Linked DNA regions of Callithrix jacchus. The protein of the gene in region 3 purifies or fractionates together with the protein of the main gene of each other region. This does not show direct contact. Links are inferred from orthologs where the notes say so. Each region holds a gene or a part of one and is shown on either strand. Other genes may lie near its edges. The genes, in order: POLR3H, POLR1F, POLR1C, POLR1E, POLR3G, POLR3C and CRCP.

Region 1 (4,198 bases), on a different chromosome or scaffold from region 3:
GGCCCCCTTCTCCTCTTTAGCCATGGGAAGCCTCCCATGGAGCTGTAGGAGCTGGAAATGGCATTTCTTTTGCGGCAGGGGCTTATCCTGCAAGGCTGGGATCTCTGGTCATATCCGCCTTCTGACCTCTGGGCATGGAGGTCTGTCTGCAGAGGCACGGGCCCGGGCACTAAGGGCAAGGGGTCTCCATTATCCTGTAAGGGCCTAAATGCAGACTGTGCATCCCTGGTCCCCTCGGGGCCCCTACAGTCCTAGATGGCCTTGGCTTCACCCCGCAGTGCATTATTAATGCACCGGAGCGCTGCCTCCTTCTCCAGGTCCAGGTCTTCAGCAGTGACCAGGAACCCCAGCTCTAAGGGAGGTGGCAGCATCAGAGGTTCCCCTCACCTCCGTGGCAGCAGAGGAAACTTTCTTCTACAAGGCCTAGACTCCTGATATGTGGGGGAGCCATTCCTGGGGGCCAGTTTCTCCCCTGGTGGTGCATCTGCTGCCTTTTCACCCTGGGTATGAATGACAGCCTGAGAGACAGCCTGAGAGTTGTCCTCACTCACTGTCTTTGAGGAACTGAGGGTCACATGGCAGTGGGATGAGGCTGGCCCTCTCCTCCTCTTTAGCCACGGGAAGCCTCCTGTGCAGCTGTAGGAGCTGGAAATGGCATTTCTTTTGTGGCAGGGGCTCATCCTGCAAGGCTGGGATCTCTGTTCATGTCTGACATCTGACCTCTGGGCATGGAGGTCTCTCTGCAGAGGCCTGGGCCTGGGCACTAAGGGCAAGGGGTCTCCATTATCCCGTACAGGCCTAAATGCAGACCATGCATCCCTGGTGCCCTCGGGACCCCTTTTTTTCACCATCCAGACTCTCTTGGACTCTGGGGTCCTTGTCCTGATCAGGCATCACTGCCTCACTCTACCTGTGGGCTCTCAACACGATCTCCTCTGGACAGGAGTCTGGGCCTCAGCTGGGTGTTGTAGGCCCCAAAGGGGTGACTCCCTGCTTCTGGGACCCACAGAGAGTTTTTGTGTGGAATTGGAAGCTTGCTGTGGTACCTGTGCATCCAAATTGAAGGCAGAGGCAGAATCACTGGAAAACCTTCTTGAAGTTGTTTTGACACAGCAAGGAGGAGATCCCACAAGCAAGGTGAACGGAGGGATGGGGAGAGCGGGCTCAAGGCAACTGAGCCCTACTGGCAGGCCCTCGGCACTCAGGCCGGGACAGGGATAAGGGGCACAGAGTGCCCAGCTAGCCCCTTCTAGGAGCAGTGGGGAACTTTCAGATGCTTGAACTCTCGAGAGCTGGGCTCTGAGCGTCGTCTTCTAGCTGCCAACTCGGCTAAAGACTAAGCTAGCAGTTTCTCCTGTTGCCGGGCAACGCATCTTTCAAACCTGCGCGAGTGGGGGCGCGTGCAAAAACAGGCGCAAGTGAAAGATCCACGCCAGGACGACCTTCAGGGACTCGCGCGACATGGTATGCACGCCAGGCACCTGCGGACAATGCGGTGGGGGGAGTGGTGCAAACCTTTCGCGAGAGGCACGTGCTGGCAATGGTGGGGCGGGGGGAGGAGGGGGGTGTGTGTGCAAGGTATGTGCATGAGGCACCTGCGGGCAATGACGGGAGTCAGGGCCCTGGGGGGTAGAGGGGTGCGCACCATAGGTACTAAAAGGAGAGGCGCGCACACAAAGGACTCCGGACCTGAAAGGATTGGTGTGGCAAGGTACGCGCTCAAGGTACCTGCTGGCAATGGCGGGAGGGGGAAAGGGCCTCGCGGCACAATAGGTACTGGAGGGAGAGACGCGCGCACTAAGGACTTGGGACCTTAATGGATTGGCGCTGCAAGGTACGTGCACAAGGCACCTGCTGGCAACTGCAGGATTGGGGGCGAGGTGGTGGGGTGGGGGGGGCAGCGCGCGCAATAGGTACCGGAGGAGAGGCGAGCACAAAAGACCCGGAACCTCAACGAACTAGCGTGGCAAGACACGTTCACAAGGCATCTGCTGGCAACGGCGGGAAATTGATGGGGCTGGGGCGGGGCGCGATATAAGTACTGGAGGGAGAGGCACGCGCACAAAGCACGCGAGACATTAACGGCTCGGTGCGGCAACGTATGCGCACAAGGCACCTGCTGGCAACGGCGGGGAGGGGTCAAGGTGTGCGCGAGAGGCGCCTGCTGTTAATGGCAGCGGAGGGGCAATGTATGAGCACAAGGCACGTGCTGGCAATGGCGGCGGAGGGGGCAATGTATGGGCTCAAGGCACCTGCTGGCAATGGCGACAGAGGGGGCAACGTATGCGCACAAGGCGCCTGCTGGCAATGGCGGCGGAGGGGGCAATGTATGCGCACAAGGCGCCTGCTGGCAATAGCGGCGGAGGGGGCAATGTATGGGCACAAGGCACCTGCTGTTAATGGGGGGATGGGTCAAGGTGTGTGCGCGTGGCGCCTGCTGACAATGGCGGCGAAGGGGGCAACGTATGGGCACAAGGTACCTGCTGGCAGTGGCGGCGGAGGGGGCAATGTATGGGCACAAGGTGCCTGCTGGCAATGGCGACGGAGGGGTCAAGGTGTGCACGTGAAGCGCCTGCTGACAACTGAGAGATTGGTGGCGCGGTGGTTGGGTGGGGGGGCATAGCGTGCAATAGGTACTGGAGGTGAGGGGAGCACAAAAGACCCGGAACCTTAACGAACTGGCGTGGGAAGACACGCGCACAAGGCACCTGCTGACAACCGCGGAAAAATGGGCCGGGGCGGGGCGCGCGAAATAGGTACTGGAGGGAGAGTCACGCGCACAAACACGCGACACATTAACGGATCGGTGCGGCAAGGTATGCGCACAAGGCACCTGCTGGCAATGGCGGGGAGGGGTCAAGGTGTGCGCCAGAGGCCCCTGTAATGCGTGAGCCGAGCCTTTTTTTTCTTCCCTGGAAGCAGAGTTTTACTCTCTCACCCAGGCTGGAGTGCAATGGTGCAATCTCGTTCACTGAAACCTCTGCCTCCCAGGCTCAAGCGATTCTGCCTCAGCCTTTTGAGTAGCTGGGATTACAGGACTATGCTATCATGCCCAGTTAATTTTGTATTTCTAGTAGAGACGGGGTTTCACCATGTTTGCCAGGCTGATTTCAAACTCCTAAGTGATCTGCTTTGGCCTCCCAAAGTGCTGGTATTACAGACATCAGCCACCACGCCTGGACTGTCCTAGCCTCACAAAGTTTTCCTTCGCTGTCCTCAGTTTAATGTCATGGCGGGGCACAGCCTGGTCGTCATGATTAAGGACTCTGGGGCCTAGGTCCCGGGTTTGCCACTTACTGGCTATATGACCTTGAATGACCTATTTAACCTCTCTTTGCCCTAGATGAGGCAAAATGAGACAATGAGGTAAGTGAGATAATGATAATAGCTCCTACTGTATACAGCTGTTCTGAGGATAAAACTTAATGCATGTAAAGCACGTAAGTAGTACTCCACATATAGTAAGTGCTCATGAATGTTAGCTGTTAATATCATAATCATAAGGCCCCCTGATCTGGACGCTGCTTAGGTCTCTAATCTCTTAGCTTACCAGTTCTCATCTCCCATGTAAATCAGCCCGAATATTATTATTATTTATTTTAGAGACAGAGTCTTTCTCTGTCACTCAGGCTGGAAGGCAGTGGCAGGATCAAAGCTCACTGAAGCCTTGAATTCCTGAGCTCAAGCAATCCTCCCACCTAAGCCTCCCAAGTAGCGAGGACTACAGGCAATCATGCCCAGCTAATTTTTTTTTTTTTTTTTTTTTTAGTAGAGACAGTGTTTCATTTTGTTTCTGAGGCTGGTCTCAAACTGATCTTAAGCAATCCCCCTGCCTCAGTCTCCCAAAGTGTTGGGATTACAGGCATGAGCCAGTGTGCCTGGCTCCAAATACTTTTGATTATTTAAGAGTACAAACTCTCTTTCTCTCAATGCCCACCCCCCTGCCCCCAACTCCAGCACCAAGCGCTCTGAGCTGAAGTTTTTCTTCTCCATTGCATTTCCAACAGCTGGACACAACAGCATATTGAATGAATGCATGAATGAATAAGAACAGCATCACATTTGGGTTCCATTTTAGGCCATTCTCACATTGCTATAAGGAAATACTTGGGCTGGGCATGGTGGCTCATGCCTGTAATCCCAGCACTTTGGGAGGCTGAGGCAGGCAGATCACCTGAGGTCAGGAATTCGAGACCAG
Region 2 (2,223 bases), on a different chromosome or scaffold from region 3:
CTTATTGTGTGTACATGCACAACTGTTCTCTTGTGACATGCCACACAAGATGTGTGTACATGACATACATCTAACTTGTTTACCATTATATCCCTGGGCAGTGTAAGAATGTGTTGTACAAAGTAGATGGTCAAGTGTGTGGAAAATGAATAAATATGGCCATGCATTGATTATCAGCTTCAACCAGCTTGTCATTTCATTACTCTTTGTCAGTTAGTCAAGAGACATTCCATGTTTTCTCAATGAAAGCAGTGAACAAAACAACTGTTTTCTCTTCAGCACAATATATTACAGCCAACAAATGGGACCTAATTAAACTAAACAGCTTCTCCACAGCAAAAGAAACTATCATCAGAATGAACAGGCAACCTACAAATGGAGAAAACTTTTGCAATCTATCCATTTGACAAAGGGCTAATATCCAGAATCGATAACAAACTTAAACAAATTTACAAGAAAAAACAACCCCATTAAAAAGTAGGCAAAGGATATGAAAAGACACTTATCAAATGAAGATATTTATGCAGCCAACAAACATCAAAAAAAGCTCATCACTGGTTGTTAGAGAAATGTAAATCAAAACCACAATAAGATATCATTTCATGCCAGTTAGAATAGCGATCATTAAAAAGTCAGGAAACAAGATGCTGGAGAGGATGTGGAAAAATAAGAACCATGTTGGTGAGAGTGTAAATTCGTTCAACCATTGTGGAAGACAATGTGGTGATTCCTCAAGGATCTAGAAATAGAAATACCATTTGACCCAGCAATCCCATTACTGGGTATATACCAAAAAAATTATAAATCATTCTGCTAAAAAGACACATACAGACATATGTTTACTGCAGCACTGTTAACAATAGCAAAGACTTGGAACCAACTCAAATGCCCATCAATGATAGACTGGATAAATAAAATGTGGCACATATACACCATGGAATACTATGCAGCCATAAAAAGGGATGAGTTCAAGTCCTTTGCAGGGACATGGATTAAGCTAGAAAGCACCATGTTCAGCAAACTAACACAAGAACAGAAAACCAAATACCATATATTCTCACTCATAAGTGGGAGTTGAACAATGAGAACACATGGACACAGGGAGGGGAAACATCATGCACTGGGGCCTGTCAGGGGTGATAGGGGAGGGATCGCATTAGGAGAAATATCTAATGTAGATGATGGGCTGATGGCTGCAGCAAACCTCTATGGCACATACGCCTATGGAACAAACCTGCACGTTCTGTACAAGTATCTCAGAACTTAAAGTACACACACACACACACACACACACACACACACACACAAAGTAATCTGAAATTTCCCACTAGTCAGAATCACATTTATCCTGTCTTCATTAGAGTCTACTCCAACACACAACAAAATTAGAATGGCTGAGGCACAAATGAACAAGTACAAGAAGACAGTCCTTTCCATCAACCTCTCAGATTTAAAAAAGAAAACAAGAATACACATGCACCTGGAAGAAAAGAATAATGAACAGCATACACCACCAGGCAGTCAGTACTGGCATGGCTTTTAAGAGCTGTGAAGACTTCAGAAACTTCTTTGGCAAACCATTTTATGTTAAACAATAGAAATACTGTAGAAGCAATGGTAAAGGAAAACCTAAAACTAGTTAATGTCCTGAGTTTTAAAAAAAGCAATATAAAACAGCATGTAATAAGGTGAAACCTATTAAACACATAGACACAATTAAATAAAAACTCTAACTCATTCTTTAGTAATATAATATAGTATTACACACTCTTCTTGCTGGTCTTGAGACTGTAGATACTGTAGAAATAATTCAATGTAGAGTGCAAAACCTGGAAGAATATGAGAGTTGACAGTAAGAGCAGCTTTTTATTTTGTATACAATGGCACTAACAATACTGGCTTTCCCCAAATCAATGTACAGTCAGTTTTATCATTTTAAGCACATCGAGCTGTCTCCAACTTATTTTCTCTTTTGTAAACTACTGGTATGCTTAAGCATTTCATATCACTCAAAACATTTATTCAATTGTCACGTATATCTGTCGTTTAGAAACTGAATCATATTTAAAATACTCTAAAGAAAATTACTTTTCCTTTTTTTTTTTTGGTGAGCATTTCAAAGGTGGGGTAAATTCAGCCTCTTCACTGTGTTTTCTTTTCTTTTTTTTCTTTTTATGGTCACTTTGGTAACCACTGGAGTCACTGCCTTGGAAACTAGGGTCC
Region 3 (4,082 bases):
ACACCAATACCAACTCCAGGACATGGGACACACCTAGGTTTACTTTTCCACCTGCAGGGGATTCCATCTTGCTTACCTGATCAGCCACCTGCCGGCTCAGCTGTCCCTTAAAGCCCTTCATGCCCAGGAACTCTCCATCCTCTTCTTCAGCAGCAGCCGCATCAGCGTCTGCATCAGCGTCTACTTCTTCCTCGCGCAGGCGCTGATGCAGTTCACCCATATCCTCGAAGCTAGAGCCTGAGGTATCATCCATGTTCTCCATGTCAATCACAGCTGAGCCTCCGCCCTGTTAAGACAATGGCTCCTAGAGTGCAGGACTTTTCTGTTCCATCCATTAAGTCCTCTGCTCATCCCAGGGCTTAGGGCTTTGTTCTTCCACTGCTGAGGATACGGCTTGGAATCACTACAGATCATGCCACTCCATTCCCCCTCATTTGCTCTCAGAACGCTTGATTTATAGCTTTGGCTATCTTTTCTAGCCTGGGAAACCAACTAGTCTTCCATTCATGTCTTTCTCCTACCTTACCTATCAAAGACTAAAAGCTTGAAAAAGAATCCATTTCTGTCTTTCCAAAGCCCCAAACAAAACTATGAACACAGTATGTTTTCGGCGAGTGCCAGTGAATCCCACCCAACCCCACTCCAGGCCTGACCCCAACCAACCTCCTAACTTGTTCCAAGAATACGTTCTTCCTAACGCCTCGGGCGGGCCCAGAGACCCGAGATCCTCAGGCTGGAGTAGTAGACTAGTCTGGCCCTTTCAGGTCAATGTTAACTCCACTGACTTTTGTGTGCAAGACCCAAAGAAGGCAGTTTTGCAAATGGAGTGAACTTCCAGGCCCCGAGGGAGAATCCCCAAGACACTTCTGGACATCGCCGGCCCTCGGGTTGCTGGCATCTGGTGCCTTGGGGCCATTACCTGGATGTTTTCTTCGAACCCTCCCCATTCCGGGCCAGCTCCGTTTCGGGCGCCGCCCGTCGGCGCCGCTGTAGTTGCCATGCCCTTTGAGGGCTCCCGTCGCTGAAGCCCGCGATAGCCCCGCGCGCAGGGAAGTGTGCGAGATGTGAGTCCCAAGAAGGGAGAGGTCCCAGGTCGCGGAGAGGTGGGATCAGCCGGAACACAAAAAGGAGAAACCCGGATGTTTGGACAAAACCAACTTCCGGAAATTGGGGACGTGGATGAAGGTGGAGCAAAGTCTCGCGATATTTAAGATTCCAGGAGGCGGTGCGTTGCCACGGAGATGGAGCAGTGCTGCTAGAACGCACGCGCCAGCTAGAGCCTGTAGTCTTTTGGAGAGATTGAACATGGCGGCTACTCAGGCCGTGGAAGAAATGCGGAGCCGCGTGGTTCTAGGAGAGTTTGGGGTTCGCAATGTAAGACTTGTGTCCTTGAGCTCAGGCGGGAGGAATGAGAGCGGAACAGGGATGGGTCTTGGGATTGGCGTGGGGATAGCCGTAGGCTCACTGTCCATTTGTGGACAAACTCATCCCTTTGCTCTAGGTCCATACCACTGACTTTCCCGGTAACTATTCCGGTTATGATGATGCCTGGGACCAGGAACGCTTCGAGAAGGTCAGTGGGGCCAGAGTTGTCCGGGGATTGTTAGGAGGGCCAGACCCTGTGGTCTCAGCAGCATGTGTCTGTCTCAGTAGCTGCTCTTGGGGGTCGCTCCGTTTGTAAGTTTTGTTGAGCAATGTGGTAGACCTCCGTTTACAGGCCAAGTTAGACACAGTTTCTACCCAGTTCTGCAAACAAGATGTTCAGTCTTGTTGAGGAATGGTGCGTATAAACAAGTGAATCTAGTTTAATATGGTAAAGGTGGTTGATAGCTGTGAAGATGGCAGGATTCGTGTGGGGAACATTATGCTGAGACCAGGAAGAGGGGCCCAGAGGTACTTAACATTTCTTGAGGAGGGAAGATCTGAATTGAGCTTTGAACGGTAAGTAAAGAACAGGAGTTAAATTAGGAAGGCTTTGAGTTTCAGGTCAGTGAAGTTGAGGATATACAGGTTTTGTGTGTATTTAGTCTATTATTGTTTCACTTAGCTTAAAATAAGGATTAAAATTGCATTTAAATAGATCACTGAATGTTACTGTTTATGCAACTGAACTGTGTGTGCAGTTTATAAAACATGATCTATAAATCTGTGCTTGGGAAAATTTTACTTTTTTTAACCTGTTGATACAGGAATAAAGTATGAACAATGAAAAAGGCTAATGCTTGAAAAAAAGTTATGGTGTGAATTGTGCTCCGGGAATGTCCAAGCAGTTCTGGCACTAGTGGTAGGCAAGATTGAAGTGTGTCTTGGGCACTGTTGATGATAGGGAGCTTGAATAGTTAAGCAGACATGATTAGATTTGCAACCCTGATAGCTGGGAGGGAATGAGTTTGAAGAGGATCGTATGGAGCAGGCAGATCTGTTGTAAGGGAAGCTGAGGTTGAAGGTATGAACTAAGACTGACGGTAGAAAGAGAGCAAAGGAAGAAAGAAGGTAAATTTGTGATTGCTTTGGTAAAGGCTGTTGGGGTAGCATAAAATGACTTTTTGACTTGGGAACTGCTTTGATGCATTGTGGTATCATTTACTGAGAGAAGAAATGGGTCTGGGGAAGAGGAATGATGATACGTCGTTTCCTGCATTTGGAGAAATCTAGCAGGCTAGAAGACTGCATATTTGAAATGAGATCAGAAGGGAGGTAAAATTTTGGGAGGTGTCAGCACAGATAGTTGCTAAAACCGTTGTTAGTGTGGTTAAGGTCACCTGGGAGAGAGACCAGAACCTGGTAGATTTAGAGATGGGTGGACGTTGTTGATCATCAGAGAAGGAAGAATGGAGCTCAGAAGCCAGGAGAATAGTTCAAAAAAGGAGGGGATTTTTTTTTTTTTTTTTTGAGATGGAGTCTCTGTTGCTCAGGCTGGAGTGCAGTGGCAGGATATCAGCTCACTGCAACCTCTGCCTCTTGGATTCAGGCAGCTCTCCTGTCTCAGCCTCCTGAGTAGCTGGTATTACAGGTGCACACCACCATGGCCGGCTAGTTTTTTGTATTTCTAGTAAAGATGAGGTTTCACCATGCCAGTCTCGAACTCCTGACCTCGTGATCCAACCACCTTGGCCTTCCAAAATGCTGGGATTACAGGCATGAGCCATTGCGCCTTTCCAGGAGGGGATTTTTTTAATCAATGCCAGGCGTAACAGACGTCTAGTAAAAGGACTGTCTAGTGTCAGCATGACTAAGCAGTGAGGTGGGTTTCTGTTCTTAGGACAATAGCTTCTGTGGATGGTTTGGTTGGGAGCCATATTGGATAGGGTTTTAATGAATGGAAGACAAAAAATGGACACTTTTCATGAACCTAAAGCAAGCACTGGACGAGAAAGAACATTTAATAAGGGACGTCTGGGCAAAGGGTGGTTTTTGGATGAGTGGATAATACTTGGAATCATCTGAGGGGGAGGTATGAAGAGCTATTACAAAGAGAGCAGGCTTCACTTAATCTTTTTCCTGTCCCTCTAGAATTTCCGTGTGGATGTGGTACACATGGATGAAAACTCACTGGAGTTTGACATGGTGGGAATTGATGCATCCATTGCCAATGCTTTTCGACGAATTCTGTTAGCTGAGGTATTGGCAGGCATGGTGACAAGGTTGGATTTGCTTTGGGAACTGCACTGACACTTGGAGTGTCACTTGGAGAATTAAGTGTCTCAAGCTGTCCTTCCCTTCTTATTTTTCCTGGAGTTTTGCTGGCTAAGGATTTTACCTTCTCATTCTTTGTAAACTTCTCATTAAACATTCTAGGAAGAGAGATAGCTCCCTACCTCTGGAGGTTGGAGTTTGTGGGGATAGGTAGGGGGTCTATTGGGTTTTTGCTGATAAGTGATTTTTTCCTTGGGCAGGTGCCAACTATGGCTGTGGAGAAGGTCCTGGTGTACAACAACACATCTATTGTTCAGGATGAGATCCTTGCTCACCGTCTGGGGCTCATTCCCATTCATGCTGACCCCCGTCTTTTTGAGTATCGGAACCAAGGTGAGAAAATGAAATTTTGGGAGAAGTGGACTGTCTGGGTTTAAATCCTGGTT
Region 4 (3,500 bases), on a different chromosome or scaffold from region 3:
CAAGCAGTTTTCCTGCCCCCATCTCCCAAGTAGCTAGGATTACAGGTGGGCACCACCACACCCAGCTAATTTTTGTTTTTTTTAGTAGAGATGAGATTTCTCCATGTTGGCCATGTTGTTCTTGACCTCCTGACCTCAGGTGATCCACCTGCCTCGGCCTCCCACAGTGCTGGCTGGGATTACAGGTGTGAGCTACCGCGCCCAGTCTGTATTTGCTTAGTTCTTTTTTTTTGAGATGGAGTCTCACTCTATTGCCCAGGCTGGAGTACAGTGTCACAATCTCAGCTCACGGCAACCTCCGTCTCCCGAGTTCAAGCGATTCTCCTGCCTCAGCCTCCTAAGTAGCTGGGATTACAGGTACACACCACATTACCTGGCTAATTTTTGTATTTTTAGTAGAGGTGGGGTTTCACTGTATTGTCCAGGCTGGTCTCAAACTCCTGATCTCAGGTGATCTGTCCACCTTGGCCTCCCAAAGTGCTGGGATTACAGGTGTGAGCCACCTCGACCAGCCACTTAGTTCTTATTTTCACATTCCAATTCCACCTTTCCCTCTCTGTCTCTCTGAGCTTTCAGCACAATTTTGTTTTCTAACGTCATGTTAAATCTGCGTCCTACTGGGACGCCTGTGGCTCACGCCTATAATCACAGCACTTTGGGAGGCTGAGGTGGGTGGATCACCTGAGGTCAGGAGTTCCAAACCAGCCTGACCAACAAGGAGAAACCCCATCTTGACTAAAAATACAAAATTAGCCAAGTGTGGTGGGGTATGCCTGTAATCCTAGCTACTTGGGAGGCTGAGGCAGGAGAACTGCTTGAAGCCAGGAGGCAGAGGTTGCAGTGAGCTGAGATTGTGCCATTGCACTCCCTCCTGGGCAACAAGAGCAAAAATACGTCTCAAAAAAAAATTCTGTGTCCTTAGGCCTCGGGCTGTGGTTTCTTGTTACTGGCCCCTCACCAGCATCACTCTTGCAGGGAGGTCTGCCAGCAGAAGTGCACCGAGCGTGTCTGCATTTTGCCATGGCTGTTCTGCTTTGTGGGTCCTGCTTCTCTTACCACCTGGTTCTGGTCATTACAGTGGCCCAGCTGTTGGCCTTTTCTCTCAGCTCATGGTTGAGGTGTGGCCTGAGAGTTTTAAGAGAAAATGATAAAACTTAACTTTGTGTTGTAGATTCCCTGGGACCTGACATTCCCCACATCATCAACACCAAACTGCTGAAGCACTTTACCTGCTTGACGTACAACAATGGCAGGTCAGGGGGTGGTTTCTGGGATTTTTCCTGTGCAAGGGAAAGCAGGTAGGGGGAGTGAGGAGCGGGGGCTTGGACTCAATTTCATGTCCACAGATATGCAGTGCTAAAGAGATTGCTGCCATTTGGAAGTCTCCTGGGGCCCCAGAAAGTTCAGCAAACGCTAAATATTACTCTGTCCTTTTTGGAAAAGTATTGTCTTTTGGGAATCTTAGAAGCTCTGGGAAGTCCTACAATAGAGACTTGTTTTACGTCACATACTTCTTTTGAGGAGCCCTTCGTGATGTCCCACAGAGCTGGTGTTCTTCGCAAAGGCAACGTTGCATGAAAGGGCAGGCCAACTTGGGGACTTTGGGGAAAGACCCACAAGCAATGCCCGTGGGCTTTCCTTCCTGCCATCTGCATGGAATGTGTTTCCTGCTCCTGGGTGTGCTTTGAAGAATCAGCACAGTTGATTTGGGAATGAATGTTTTCCCAGCAACCCTGCTATGCAGGCGGGGACAGACTCAGAGGGCCCTCACCAGCTCGAAGTGCTAGTGGTACCCAGGGAGTGTGTAGGCCCAGCTTTCTCTCTCCCTCTCAGAGGGAAATGTGGACTGGCACACTGCTCCACTGTGTATGAGGCCCAGGAACCTTGGGAGGGCAAACAAGCCATCTACATTCCTTTTCCTTTCCTTTAGTTCCTGAGTGCATATGGGAATACGCTTGGATGTTCTTATTTTGCTTTTGGAGAAATTGTCTTAGACTTTAATTTTGTTTCTTCATTGCCATTGATATTCTAGATTACGGAACTTAATTTCGGATTCTATGAAGGCGAAGATTACTGCATATGTGATCATACTTGCCTTGCACATAAATGACTTCCAAATTGACCTGACAATGTTACAGAGGGACCTGAAGCTCAGTGAGAAAAGGTGAGCACAACAGAATAAAGAGCTCCCTGCAGGGCACCTTGATGTCTTACTTCTGGTACCACTGGAAAGCATGAGGCGCCACTAAGGGAACTGAGGATTTTTAAATGTAGGAACAACTTGGAACTAGAGGTCTATTTTCAATGAATCAATAATTGACTGAATGAGCAACTAGACATTACTGAGTGCCTTCTCTTTGCAAGGCACAGTCTTAAATTGTCATTATCTCATTGATTTCCCTAGAAAACAATTGAAGAATCAGGTTTAGAAAAGTACATGACTTTCTCAAAGTTATACAACCAAGAGGGGAGCAGTTGGACTTCAGACCTGAGCCTTTCCATAACATTCTGTTCCTGAATAACCAAGCAGCCTCCATTCTCTGAATTTCTGTTACTGGGGAGAGGGATTTTGTATGGTTCTGAGGATGCAGCCAAGGATGGAAGTTGTAGGAGAACCCAACTGCCACTTAGTAAGAAGAGCTTCCTCAGAATCAGATGGAAGGGCTTGCCCAGGGGAGGTGTTCAAGGACAGGTGGAACCTTGAACCACTGTTTGGCAGGGATGTCATATTTGCATTTTTCTGACCCGACTGGGAGAGCTGGTGGTGGGGATGACCTTTCAGGCTCCCTCTAACCTTGTAGAGGAGATTCAGACAGTAGGGGCAGAGCTGCCTGGGAACCTAAACCGTGGGGTCAGCTGATCTTTGTCAGTGATATAGGGGCATGTGATATCCAGGGACCCAGATGGTGTCTAGGAGATCCAGTGAACACACCTCCGTCTGGACTCTCCTAGCAGTCCATGGAGGGACTGTTCTGAGAGCTGTCCACAGACCGTGTTCCCACAGGCCCTGGGGCTGAAAAAAGAGAACAGGTACTTGGAACCCATCAGATTCTAGCAAGTGCTCAATGCTGATTGCTAAAAATTTGGTTATGGGTGGTAAAGAAAGTTGTCCATAGGGCTCTAAGATAGTCTGGTTTTTCATCACCCACATGGATCTTTCGAAGGGCGGCACATTAAAATGAAATTGTCTATCTGAGGGCTTTCAGTGGGTGAGGGGACCTTGCCTGTCCCTCTGCCTGGGGCTTTGCTCCTGCTGGCAACCTTTGGGATTCTGTCTTTATGGCCTGGAGCATGAATGTGCTGCTACCTTTTGCCATACCTCCCTGAACAGTCACATTGAGGAGTCTCTCCCATTGTTCTGTGTCTTCCTTAGGATGATGGAGATAGCCAAAGCCATGAGGCTGAAGATCTCCAAAAGAAGGGTGTCTGTGGCTGCCGGTGATGAAGAAGATCACAAACTGGGCACCCTGTCCCTCCCACTGCCTCCCGCCCAGACCTCA
Region 5 (4,056 bases), on a different chromosome or scaffold from region 3:
CTACAGGGTGCCAGAGCTGATCTCTGGCAGGGAAGTCTGTGAAGGCCTTGGCGCTGGTCAAGTGGGTTTTTAACTCAGGGAACGGGGAAACAAGTGGTTCTAGGAGGTGCCAAAATAAATCCCCTTATCGCCACGCAGGTCTCCAACATGCGGCACTCGGACAGTCTCTTCCCAACACCCTCCCTTAACGAGAGCGCGCGCCCGAGGGGGCCCATTACCATCCTGCAGGATGAGGCTGGGCTGCACCGCCTGTACCCGGAACTGTCTGGCCCTCCAGCCGGGGCTGGGCGCCCGCACCACCTCGCTATCGGAGAGCCAGGTCACAGTCTCAAAGTTGTCCCCGCGAGCCAGAGCCTCAGCCTCGGCGTGGTGCACGGCCACCCGGTCGAACTGGTAGAGGCCGCCGGAGTGGTCGAAGTGCACGTGGGTGGCCACGGCAAGCAGCGGCCGGTGCGCCGCATCCTCTTTGGCCCCGCGGTCCTGCAAGAGGCCGGAGGAGTACAGGTACTCCGGGAGGCTGCGCAGCCCCAGGCCTGTATCAATCACCACGTCCTGCTCGGAGCCGCGCACCAGCCAGATGTTGGCGCGGTTGCCTGACTCATAGAAGCGTTCTTGAATCCAGAAGATACCATCGCCTAGAGACTTGTGGGCGTACCACTCGAGAGCCGACATGCTGGGCAGGGGTGCAGCCAGGCAGGATGAGTGTGGGCGTGCGTGCCTCCCACAGGCTGGCTGTCCAGACACCAGGCGCTGCGGCTGTGTGGAGCGTTCTGCTGCAGCCAGAGAGGAGGCGCAGAGCGAGGCGGGGGCGGGGAATGCGGGGGTAGGAATAGGAGGAGGAAGGAAGGACGCAGACCCACGCTACCTGGAGCGTGCGCTCCCGCACCCTCCCGCCAGGTCGGCAGCCAGTAAAGGCTGCGCCACCTGCACCGAGGCACAGGAGCTACCGCAGCCTGTACAGCTGCAGCTCGAGGGAGATTTAACGCAGGGGCCACTGCAGCAGAATGGAGACTCAGGAGGCGACTATTTCCCCACCCCAGGAGTGTGGCAGCAGAGACCCGGAGCGAGCAGGGGAAGCGCTAGGACCGCCCACCCACCAGCTTTCCGCGGTGCGCACTCCCAGCTGGCGCGGAAAGTGAGGGGCCTAACGGGTTGTCCGGTGACTACGGCGACTGCCAAGGCCAAAAAAGCTCTGTGCCGAGGGGATGGGGCCTGCCTAGGGAGTGGGCGGGGCTAGTTGGTAGAGCTCACCCTGCAGTTCTGGGACCGCCGGGAGGGCGGTGCGCGCTTCTCCCGAGGTGGAACCCGCGGCGCTGGAACGCCGGCGTCCTCTGCCAGCACCCCTTCCTTGCCGGCCGGCACTTCGACTGCAGAGTTTTGCCCACGCTTCGAGACTTAGGGAGCAGGTAACCGAGGAAGCAATCGAAGACTTGGGAGGGGTGGTGAGGATAGAGGAAAGTTAAAGGGACACGTGGAGAAGGTAGGGGGAAGTCGGGGTTAGAGATTATTAAAGCGCCTCTGGGTTGAGGGGCGTTTGGAGATGGCTTGGTACCTCCCCTGGTGCTGCTCCCTTCAGAATCTTTTTTAAGTCGAATTTCCAGATTTTACTTAGTCTCCGCTTCTGGGACTGTTTACAGTGAGTTAGAAGGGTAGTCTCTTACTTACAGTAGGTGATTTTCAGAATCCGGTGACTTGATGATTTGTTTAGGCACTAGTCATTGCCGCAGATTGAAGCTGAGGACCGACTATTCAGCATCTATTTTCGTAACTGTTGGCACTTTTATATCGTAGGGATGGGAGCTGTTAATATGGTTTGTCTTTTCTTCTAAAAAATAAAATTCTATATCCACTCTCTTTTTTTTTTCTTTTTTTGGTTAGTCTGCCCTTGGAGGAGGGTAAAGAAAGTTGGTAGTGAAGTTCAACCAAGGAAAGAGGGAGAACCTGGTGAGGACGGGAAAAGTGAATAATGACTGGGTGTGGCCCCGCCAGCCACGTAAATCACCCGCACTGTTAACATCAGGTCACTGCATCCATTCCCCACACTTCCCAGCTATTGAAGCAGCTATTTAGGTTTTGGGTTTTTTTTGTTTTTTTGGTGAGACAGTCTCACTCTGTCGCCCAGGCTGGAGTTCAGTGGAACCTCCGTCTCCTGGGTTCAAGCGATTCTCTTGCCTCCGCCTGCCAAGTAGCTGAGATTACACGCGCCTGCCACTGCATCCGGCTAATCTTGTATTTTTAGTAGGAATGGGTTTCACTCTGTTTGCCAGGCCGGTCTTGAACTCCTGACCTCAAGCGATCCGCCCGCCTCGGCCTCCCAAAGTGCTGGGATTACAGGCGTGAGCCACTACACTGGCCTGAAGCATCTATTTAAGCTTCAGAAATTCCCTTGAGAACTTGACTAACCTCCCTACTTCGGAAATATGGTAAAGAGACTCATGAGACAGCATTAGAGAAAAGGATTATGAAAACCTTTACTGTGACAACTACTAGTAAGCCTTCATGGAAGGAGAGGCATACTCTCCTTCCCTACCCTCCTAAAGTTTCATGAACAAAATTGTGTCAAAAGGTCATAATCTGGATTCTCAGGAGTTTGAAGGAAGGTAATGTCTGTACACAATTACTTGCAAGATAAAGCATTGCAGGGTATGTGCCACAGAGGAAGTAAAAACTAGACTCAATGAGAATACAGATGGAAGGGATTCTTGAGGAGAGGCATTTGAGCCGGCCTTAAAAGACTACTTTTAGGGCATTCTCAGCAGAGTAGTAGGGCTCTTTGTAGTTGGGGTACTTTTTCTCTAGGCAGAAGAGAACCACTAGTGGTGAAAAGGAGTGATATCTCTACCAGGCCGTGAGCTCAGCAATAATATACCCAATAATGACTGGACTTTTGCCAGGCTTTGGTTAGCAATGGGGACATAAAAAGGTGAATAAGTTTCCAAGGAGACCTTCACACATCCAGGTCCCTCTGCCTGTATCACACGTCTCCCTGGATGTCCTTTTCTAATTCTCTCCATGGCTCTTTGCTTTACTTTTGTCAGGCTTGTGTTCAAATATCACGGAATGAGAGAGGACTTCTTCAGCCGTCCTCTTTACAATAGCATCCATGTTTCCTGTCTTTATTTTTCTTCTTATCACTTCCTGACATTACCTATAAAATATATTTTGTCAATTTCTTACCCTAGACTATGAGCTCTATGGGAGGAGAGATTTTGTTTTGCTCACTACTGTATTCCCAATTCATAGAGGGCAGCCTGATGCTGAGGGTGCTTAATAAATACTTGATTGGATTGAAGAGCCTCCCTGGGGAGATAGATAAGATCTGATAGTTAAAACATGATTGTAAAAGGGCCTAAGAGCAGTGTAGTACTTGGGAAACAGAGAGAAGGGAGGGGCCTACCTCCTTGTAGGGTGGAAGAGATTGTCATGGAGAAAGTGTCATTTGCATGGCATCTTAAAAGAACCTGGGGCTTAGGAGGATGTGGCAGGAAGGGCACTCCAGGCATGCAATGGTTGATGTGGCCATAGCGTGGGATGCATGTGGTGAGAGGCAGAAAGATTCCAAAGCTCTGTTATTTATGCTAAGTCATGTGCCACTAATTGTATTCCAGAAACATACTCTAGACTGCAGAGTGGATTGAAAGGGAGAGTCTGGCCACAGGAAGTTTATTTGTTATGTTGTAGAGGTCCAGGTGAGAGATGAGAGGGTCTGAACTGAAGCAGAGGTGGACGAAAGGGAACATGGGAGAGAGAACAGAGTTGGTAACTAACCCTCTACTATTAGATGAGGGGTTGGAAGTAGACAGGTTAGGATACCTATCCTGATTATAGCAATTTAGGGGTCATTCATCAGGAATAACACTGTGACCTGACTTTCACTACCTCTAGCTTCTATGTCTGCCTCTATTTGTTTCTGCATTTATTCATGGAGCTGTTGTTGTTACTGGTGGAAGGTGTCCAGGTTCTTGGCATCTTTAGCAAAGAATTGGACAAAGCCCAGAAAGCAAAGAAAGAATGAAGCAACAAAAGCAGATATTTACTGGAAATGAAAGTACACTC
Region 6 (2,398 bases), on a different chromosome or scaffold from region 3:
AACACAACTCTGAGACATGTTTCCTAACCTTGGAGATTCTCTTAGCATTTATCTCTGAGGCACAACCCATCACTCTTTTACCATTTTCCTGGTCAAAGTAGATGTCACCTTCTAAGGACATTTTCTAGAAACTTATTTGGAAATATAACTTCACTCGTGAAACTCTTACTGCCTCTCATTTGCACTTAAAGTTTGGTGCTTCTGTACATTTCTCATAAATTTAATCTGAAAAAACTATTTCATTGGGAGCGTATTAGAAAAGTGTAGCCTATGCATGATTTATACTAATCTAAGCCAGTGATTCAATGCAAGGACACTGGTTGCTATCTCCATTGTTTCCTATTCCTCAGAATTTTTTTTTTTTTTTTGAGATGGAGTCACACTCTGTCACCCAGGCTGGAGTGCAGTGGCATGGAGTGGCTCACTGCAACCTCCACTCACTGAGTTTAAGCAATTCTCCTGCCTCAGACTCCAGAGTAGCTGGGACTACAGGGGCCCATGACCATGCCCAGCTAATTTTTGTATTCTTAGTAGAGATAGGATTTCACCATGTTGGCCGGGCTGGTCTTGAACTCCTGACCTCAAGTGATCCATCTGCCTCAGCCTCCCAAAGTGCTGGGATTACAGGCATGAGCCACTGCACCTGGCCCAGCCTTCATTGGTTCCTGTTTCTATAGGAAATTTCCCCTCAGGCCGTTGACCTTAAAAAATGTAAATAACTCAACTGAAAATGTTACTTACTTGTTCTCTTTGGTTTCAAATTGCCTCCTTTCTATCAAGTTGGCTATGCTCTGAGGAAAGAGAAGACAGACAAGAAATGCACATAGTTCAATTTCAGCAGCTCAGGTAAAATGGGTGAAATGGGCATATGAGGGGGACTTGTCCATGTGGAGGCAGCAGACTGGGTTACCTTGTAGCACCTGTGCAGCAACATTCGGGCAGCTGACAGGATGTTCACAGTATATAAATAGAAGGTCCTGGATGGGGCATGGTCTGGTGTTTTGGGAATTTCCTATTTGTCCAATAGAAAAAAAAAGTAACAAATTATATTGTTTTGGAACTGGCAAGGTAAACACTCATTCCATCTGGACTTACTCAACTCTCTTTTTCACTTACATTTTCATGTTTCCTAGTCATTCAGTACCTGTGTTTATTTATTTACTTTGAGACTGGGTCTTGCTGTTACCCAGGATGGAATGTGGCAGTGCGATCTTGGCTCACTGCAACTTCTACCTGGGACTCAAGCAATCCTCCCACCTCAGTATCCTGAGCAGCTGTAACTACAGGCATGCGCCACCATGCTCAACTAATTTTTTAATTTTTTTGGCGGGGGAGGAGACATGGTCTCACTATATTACCCAGGCTGGTCTTGAATTCCTGGGCTTAAGTGATCTTCCTGCCTTGGCTTCCCAAAGTGCTGGGATTACAGGTGTGCCCAGCCCAGTCTCTGTGGTTTATGTCGTAATTAATTAAACGGAGAGCTGGGCTTCCCTGTTTTTCTTTTTTTCCCATTTGACTGTCAGCATCCTGAATGGAGAAGAAAGGGAAGGTAACTAATATTTACTGAAAAATCTGTGTACCAGGTAAATTCTATATGATCTTTACAAAAAACCTTTTTTTTTTTTTTTTTTTTTAATACAGAGTCTTGCTTTATTGCCCAGGCTGGCGTGCAGTGGCACAATCTCAGCTCACTGCGACCTCTGCCTCTTGGGTTCAAGAGATTCTCCTTCCTGCCTCAGCCTCCCAAGCATCTGGGATTATAGGCACGTGACACCACCCCCAGCTAATTGTTTTGTATTTTAGTAGAGACAGGGTTTTACCATGTAGGCCAGGCTGGTCTCGAACTCCTGACATCAAGTGATCTGCCCGGCTCGGCCTCCCAAAGTGCTGGGATTCTAGGCGTGAGCCATTGTGCCCAGCTGCCTCTTTCTTACTAGGGCAATTAAGGCTCCACATCTTCCTCTAAGTGCTTGCTACATCTCTGTGAATCATGTTTTCTGTCTCAGAGCTGGATATAGAGTTTGCTTGGGATTCAGTATGTTTGCCGGAGAAGCTTCTCTCACCCTAGGCTAGCCTGTCTGGTTGGCAGTTGTTACACCCTTGGTTACCTGGAGTGATATAAAATTTTCTGAGAGCATCTTATATAGCATATCCTTTGCCTCCTTTGCAGGAATCATTGCAAAGTCTTCCACTTGCTTCTGCTCCAGGTGTTTCTTCTGCAAAACTAGACGGAATATTCTAGCACAGCGAGACCCAAATCTGGAAAAGAATGAAGAAAGCAAATGGCATGCCAACACAGGAGAGTAGCTTTAGTTCCCAGTCATAGATGGGGCGGTGTTCTATCCCATGTGTGGAACCAGGACCAGAGAGGAACAGTAATAAGAAAACTCTTCCACAG
Region 7 (4,295 bases), on a different chromosome or scaffold from region 3:
GACTGAGACTCTATCCCAAAAAATAAAAATAAAAATAAAAACCAATAAAGAGAACAGGGTGAGGATGAGGAGGAAAGTATACCAGACAGAGGGTCCTGCATCGCAACAGTCCTCAGCAAGTGCTTAGGAGGCTCCTGTCAGTGGAAAGTGAGTGTTTGGGAGGTTGGGAGACTGGAAAGTGATAAGGCTGGAGAGTAGGTGGGGTCTTATAGGGTGCTGCAGGTCCTGGTAAGAGATGCAAATTTCCTCTAAGTACAATGGAAAGCCAATGAAGGGTTTTACACAGGGTGACATGTTCCAATCATTACTTAAGATCACTCCAGTTGCCACGTGGAAAACAGAATGGAGGCTGGGGAAGAGTGAACACCCAAACGCTACGGCTTAATCCAGCCCAGAGGTGACGGACTACGAACCTAACAGTGGAGAGGCTGAAAAGTAACTGCATTCAAAATATATTCTAAGGCAGGGCCGGGCGCGGTGGCTCACGCCTGTAATCCCAGCACTCTGGGAGGCCGAAGCACAATGTTAGGAGTTTGAAACTAGCCTGTTCTTGTGATACAGAAAGAGAAAAAAGAAACAAAAACAAACAAATAAAAGAAACCAGTCTGGCCACCATACTGAAACCCTGTCTCTGCTAAAAATACAAAAAATCAGCCGGGTGTGGTAGTGTGCACCTGGGAGACTGAGGCAGGAGAATCCCGTGAACTCAGAAGACGGAGGTTACAGTGAGCCGAGATCACGCCTTTGCACTCCAGCCCACGCAAGAGTGCAAGACTCCGTCTCAACAAATAAATAAATAAAAGACAGAGCCTTGCTCCCTTACCTCAGCAGGAGTGCAGTGGCTAGATTTCAGCTCATTGCAGCCACCTGGCCTCAAGCAATTCTCCCATCTCAGCCTTCTAAGTAGCTGAGACTATAGGCATGCACCACCACACACAGCTAACTTTTTAATTTTTTGTAGAGACAGGGTCTCTCTATGTTGCCCAGGCTGGCCTCCACCTCCCAAGCACAAGTGATCCCACCGCCTAACCCTCCCAAAGTGCTGGGATTACTAGTATGAGCCACCACGCTTGGCCCCATTCATTTTAATAAAAAATAGACAATATTGAGAGTGTACTCCATACACTATTGTTTCATGAGTCTTTCAGTTACACAGTCAAAAAAAATTGGAAGGGGCCAGGTAAGGTGGCTCATGCCTGTAATCCCAGAACTTTGGGAGTCCAAGGCAGGAGGGTCACTTGAGCTCAGGAGCTGGAAACCAGCCTGGGCAACAAAGTGAGACCCTGTGTCTACAAAAACTTTAAAAAAAAAATTAGCTGTGAGTGATGGCGTGGGTCTGTCGTCCCAGCTACTGGAGAGGCTGAGGCAGGATTGCTTGAGTCCAGAAGGTCGAGGCTGCAGTGAACCATGATTACGCCACTGTACTCCTGCCAGGGGGAAAGAGCAAGACCCTGTTTCTTAAGAAAAAACAAAATTAAGGCCGGGAGCGGTGGCTCAAGCCTGTAATCCCAGCACTTTGGGAGGCCGAGGAGGGTGGATCACGAGGTCAAGAGATCGAGACCATTCTGGTCAATATGGTGAAACCCCGTCTCTACTAAAAATACAAAAAATTAGCTGGGCATGGTGGTGCGTGCCTGTAATCCCAGCTACTCAGGAGGCTGAGGCAGGAGAATTGCCTGAATCCAGAAGGCGGACGTTGCGGTGAGCCGAGATCGCGCCGTTGCACACCAGCCTGGGTAACAAGAGCGAAACTCCGTCTCAAAAAAAAAAAAAAGAAAAGAAAAAGAAAAAACGAAATTAATTAAAAACGTAAAAATCTGAACTGCCATAGTACATATAACTTTTAAACATGAGGCAAAAGAACCTAAAGGAAACTGTATCAAAAAATCAGTTCACAGAGAACACAAGATAGGTAATACCTACAAGTTAGTATCAACCATATAAAACCCAGATTCAGAGTAGATGCAAAAAAACTTCGTTTGCACCAAGTGCAACGAGCAAGCATGGAAAAGACCACGTGAGGTCAAATTGTCAGAAAACCTTTTACCCTCGCGCGCACACACACCCGCACACACACCCGCACACCCCGTGCTGTCTCTCGGGTCCCAGTCCTGGCTCATATCCTTCCCCACTCCCCGCAAAAACCCGCCCCTTCCGTCACAGGGTTGACTGCTCCCACCAAACTCTGAGAGCCGCTCTTCCGAGTGAGGGCTCCCCAAGAGCCCGGGGCTGCAAGCAGAGCTCTACTCTACCCCGCCCCGATTCGTCTCTCCTCCAGCCACTCTCAGGGCGGACAGACAGGCCTTCACAGCCTTCTAAGTCCGGGGTCCGACAGCCCCGGACTCGGGCTCCACCCCCGCACTGTGACCCAGGAACGCTGGTAAATGAATGAGAGGAGGAGGAGGCGCATTGGAAGGCAGCGGGATCCGGAGGTGCTCGGCCTCGCATCCCAGACGCAGGCTGTGGGGGGGAAGGGAAGGTTGGGAAGGGCAGAGCGAGAGCCCCGTTCGTCCCCGTTTGTCCTCGTTCGTCCCCGTTCCCACGCGCGCGGCCCTCCCGGACAGGGCCGCCCTCGGCCCTCACTCCCGTAGGAGGGGTCGCCCAGTACCCGCGGCTCTCGGCGGTCCAACCGTTGGGCTCCCCGGCCCAAAAGAGACTCGTCCCGGGAGACTTACACTTCCATGACGTCCCGCCTCGTCGCCCCCAGGCTACCAGCGGACAAGGAACCGCACACCCCACAGCTGCCGCCGCCGCCACCGCCCGCGCCAAACAGCCAGCTCCGCGCCCCGCGGTGCACGCCGGGATCGCCGCGGTGCACGCCGGGATCGCCGCGGTGCACGCCGGGAGCTTGGCGGACCCGGAACCTCTCGCTGCCCAGTCCGTTTTCTCAGGGGGCCGGGGGAGGGTCGCTGTGTCCTTAGCCCAGGACTTCGCTTCAGGCTGCTAAGAACTTGCGGGCAGGACTATCCGGTGTTTTCTTTTTTTTTGAGTCGGAGTCTCGCTCTGTCGCCCAGGCTGGAGTGCAGTGGCCCGATCGCGACTCACTGCAACCTCCGCTTCCCGGGTTCAAGCTATTTTCCTGCCTCGGCCTCCCCAGTAGCTGAGACTACAGGCGCCCGCCACCACGCCCGGCTAATTTTTGTATTTTTAGTAGAGACGGGGCTTTCACCATGTTGTCCAGGCTGGTCTCGAACTCGTGACCTCAGGTGATCCACACTCTCCTTGGCTTCCCAAAGTGCTGGGGTTGTTACAGGCATGCGCCGTCGCGCCGTCTATCTCATGTTTTCGTGGTCTAGGTTTTCTTTTTTCTTTTTTTTTTTTTTTTTTTTTTGAGATGGAGTTTCGCTCTTATTACCCAGTCTGGAGTGCAATGGCACGATCTCAGCTCACCGCAACCTCCGCCTCCTGGGTTCAGGCAATTCTCCTGCCTCAGCCTCCTGAGTAGCTGGGGTTACAGGCACGCGCCACCATGCCCAGCTAATTTTTTAATTTTTTTAGTAGAGACGGGGTTTCACCATGTTGACCAGGATGGTCTCGATCTCTTGACCTTGTGATCCACCCACCTCGGCCTCCCAAAGTGCTGGGATTATAGGCTTGAGCCACCGCCCGGCCTGGTCTAGGTTTTAACAAAGTAATTAATCAGCTAAAGTTCCGAGACGTGATGGGGTTACTAGGTCTTTGCATGTTAAAATCCCACCCCTCAGAGAGTAGTGAGGCTGGTGGCGTCTGGGGTGCCAGAAGCGTTGTAGTTTATTTATTTATTTTTGGTAGAGATTGGAGTCTAGCTATGTTGCCCAGACTGGCCTTGAACGCCTGGCCTCAACTGATCCTCCACCTCCACCTCCCAAAGTGCTGGGATTACAGGCATGAGCCACTGCAACAGCTCTGTTCCCTTTTTTGTATATAATAAGTGTGTTAGGTAATCCTTATAAAGAGCCTGGCACTTTATTAATTACTGTGGCAGTACAATGGAATGAAGTAGATTCCATTATTATTCATGCCTTATAAGTGAGGAAACTGAGACAGTCTTGGAGAGATTATGATTTGCCAAAAGTCACTCATCTAGGAACTTGTCCGGTGGGTATTGAACCCAAGGCAATCTGAACAAATATAAGAGGTGCATTAACTAGTGACTAATAATTGGAGGAATAAAATGTTCTACATTTGTACAATGGAAAACTACTTAATAAAAAGGAGGCCAGGCTTGGTCCCAACACTTGGGGAGGCAGAGACAGGAGAACTTCTTGGAACCAGGAGTTCCAGATCAGCCTGGGCAACATTGCCAGACTCCCTCT

The links.
Region 1: the proteins of POLR1C (region 3) and POLR3H purify together in Homo sapiens (affinity purification with mass spectrometry; 5 studies listed by BioGRID and IntAct, counting the BioPlex papers as one, with this or other methods). This does not show direct contact. The link is inferred for Callithrix jacchus from reciprocal best matches to the Homo sapiens genes POLR1C and POLR3H.
Region 2: the proteins of POLR1C (region 3) and POLR1F purify together in Homo sapiens (affinity purification with mass spectrometry; 3 studies listed by BioGRID and IntAct, counting the BioPlex papers as one, with this or other methods). This does not show direct contact. The link is inferred for Callithrix jacchus from reciprocal best matches to the Homo sapiens genes POLR1C and POLR1F.
Region 4: the proteins of POLR1C (region 3) and POLR1E purify together in Homo sapiens (affinity purification with mass spectrometry; 5 studies listed by BioGRID and IntAct, counting the BioPlex papers as one, with this or other methods). This does not show direct contact. The link is inferred for Callithrix jacchus from reciprocal best matches to the Homo sapiens genes POLR1C and POLR1E.
Region 5: the proteins of POLR1C (region 3) and POLR3G purify together in Homo sapiens (affinity purification with mass spectrometry; 4 studies listed by BioGRID and IntAct, counting the BioPlex papers as one, with this or other methods). This does not show direct contact. The link is inferred for Callithrix jacchus from reciprocal best matches to the Homo sapiens genes POLR1C and POLR3G.
Region 6: the proteins of POLR1C (region 3) and POLR3C purify together in Homo sapiens (affinity purification with mass spectrometry; 5 studies listed by BioGRID and IntAct, counting the BioPlex papers as one, with this or other methods). This does not show direct contact. The link is inferred for Callithrix jacchus from reciprocal best matches to the Homo sapiens genes POLR1C and POLR3C.
Region 7: the proteins of POLR1C (region 3) and CRCP purify together in Homo sapiens (affinity purification with mass spectrometry; 5 studies listed by BioGRID and IntAct, counting the BioPlex papers as one, with this or other methods). This does not show direct contact. The link is inferred for Callithrix jacchus from reciprocal best matches to the Homo sapiens genes POLR1C and CRCP.

What each region holds. Positions count from the first base shown.
Region 1 is NC_133502.1:192,353,688-192,357,885, reverse strand, and holds the start of POLR3H (DNA-directed RNA polymerase III subunit RPC8), read left to right. Parts: upstream 1-1,398; 5' UTR 1,399-1,461; coding exon of another isoform or gene 1,462-1,464; intron 1,465-4,198.
Region 2 is NC_133512.1:38,572,753-38,574,975, reverse strand, and holds part of POLR1F (DNA-directed RNA polymerase I subunit RPA43), read right to left. Parts: coding exon 2,085-2,223; 3' UTR 1-2,084. UniProt on the Homo sapiens protein: Component of RNA polymerase I (Pol I), a DNA-dependent RNA polymerase which synthesizes ribosomal RNA precursors using the four ribonucleoside triphosphates as substrates.
Region 3 is NC_133505.1:51,998,660-52,002,741, forward strand, and holds the start of POLR1C (DNA-directed RNA polymerases I and III subunit RPAC1), read left to right. Parts: upstream 1-1,282; 5' UTR 1,283-1,305; coding exon 1,306-1,374; intron 1,375-1,501; coding exon 1,502-1,573; intron 1,574-3,513; coding exon 3,514-3,621; intron 3,622-3,896; coding exon 3,897-4,029; intron 4,030-4,082. Other genes in the region: protein YIPF3, read right to left, coding at 77-286, 920-1,000. UniProt on the Homo sapiens protein: DNA-dependent RNA polymerase catalyzes the transcription of DNA into RNA using the four ribonucleoside triphosphates as substrates.
Region 4 is NC_133502.1:144,473,317-144,476,816, forward strand, and holds part of POLR1E (DNA-directed RNA polymerase I subunit RPA49), read left to right. Parts: intron 1-1,171; coding exon 1,172-1,253; intron 1,254-2,032; coding exon 2,033-2,164; intron 2,165-3,373; coding exon 3,374-3,500. UniProt on the Homo sapiens protein: Component of RNA polymerase I (Pol I), a DNA-dependent RNA polymerase which synthesizes ribosomal RNA precursors using the four ribonucleoside triphosphates as substrates.
Region 5 is NC_133503.1:120,288,173-120,292,228, reverse strand, and holds the start of POLR3G (DNA-directed RNA polymerase III subunit RPC7), read left to right. Parts: upstream 1-1,256; 5' UTR 1,257-1,406; intron 1,407-4,056. Other genes in the region: acyl-coenzyme A thioesterase MBLAC2, read right to left, coding at 219-672. UniProt on the Homo sapiens protein: DNA-dependent RNA polymerase catalyzes the transcription of DNA into RNA using the four ribonucleoside triphosphates as substrates.
Region 6 is NC_133519.1:8,270,425-8,272,822, reverse strand, and holds part of POLR3C (DNA-directed RNA polymerase III subunit RPC3), read right to left. Parts: intron 2,260-2,398; coding exon 2,109-2,259; intron 1,013-2,108; coding exon 911-1,012; intron 792-910; coding exon 742-791; intron 1-741. UniProt on the Homo sapiens protein: DNA-dependent RNA polymerase catalyzes the transcription of DNA into RNA using the four ribonucleoside triphosphates as substrates.
Region 7 is NC_133503.1:3,241,050-3,245,344, forward strand, and holds the start of CRCP (DNA-directed RNA polymerase III subunit RPC9), read right to left. Parts: upstream 2,801-4,295; 5' UTR 2,684-2,800; coding exon 2,676-2,683; intron 1-2,675. UniProt on the Homo sapiens protein: DNA-dependent RNA polymerase catalyzes the transcription of DNA into RNA using the four ribonucleoside triphosphates as substrates.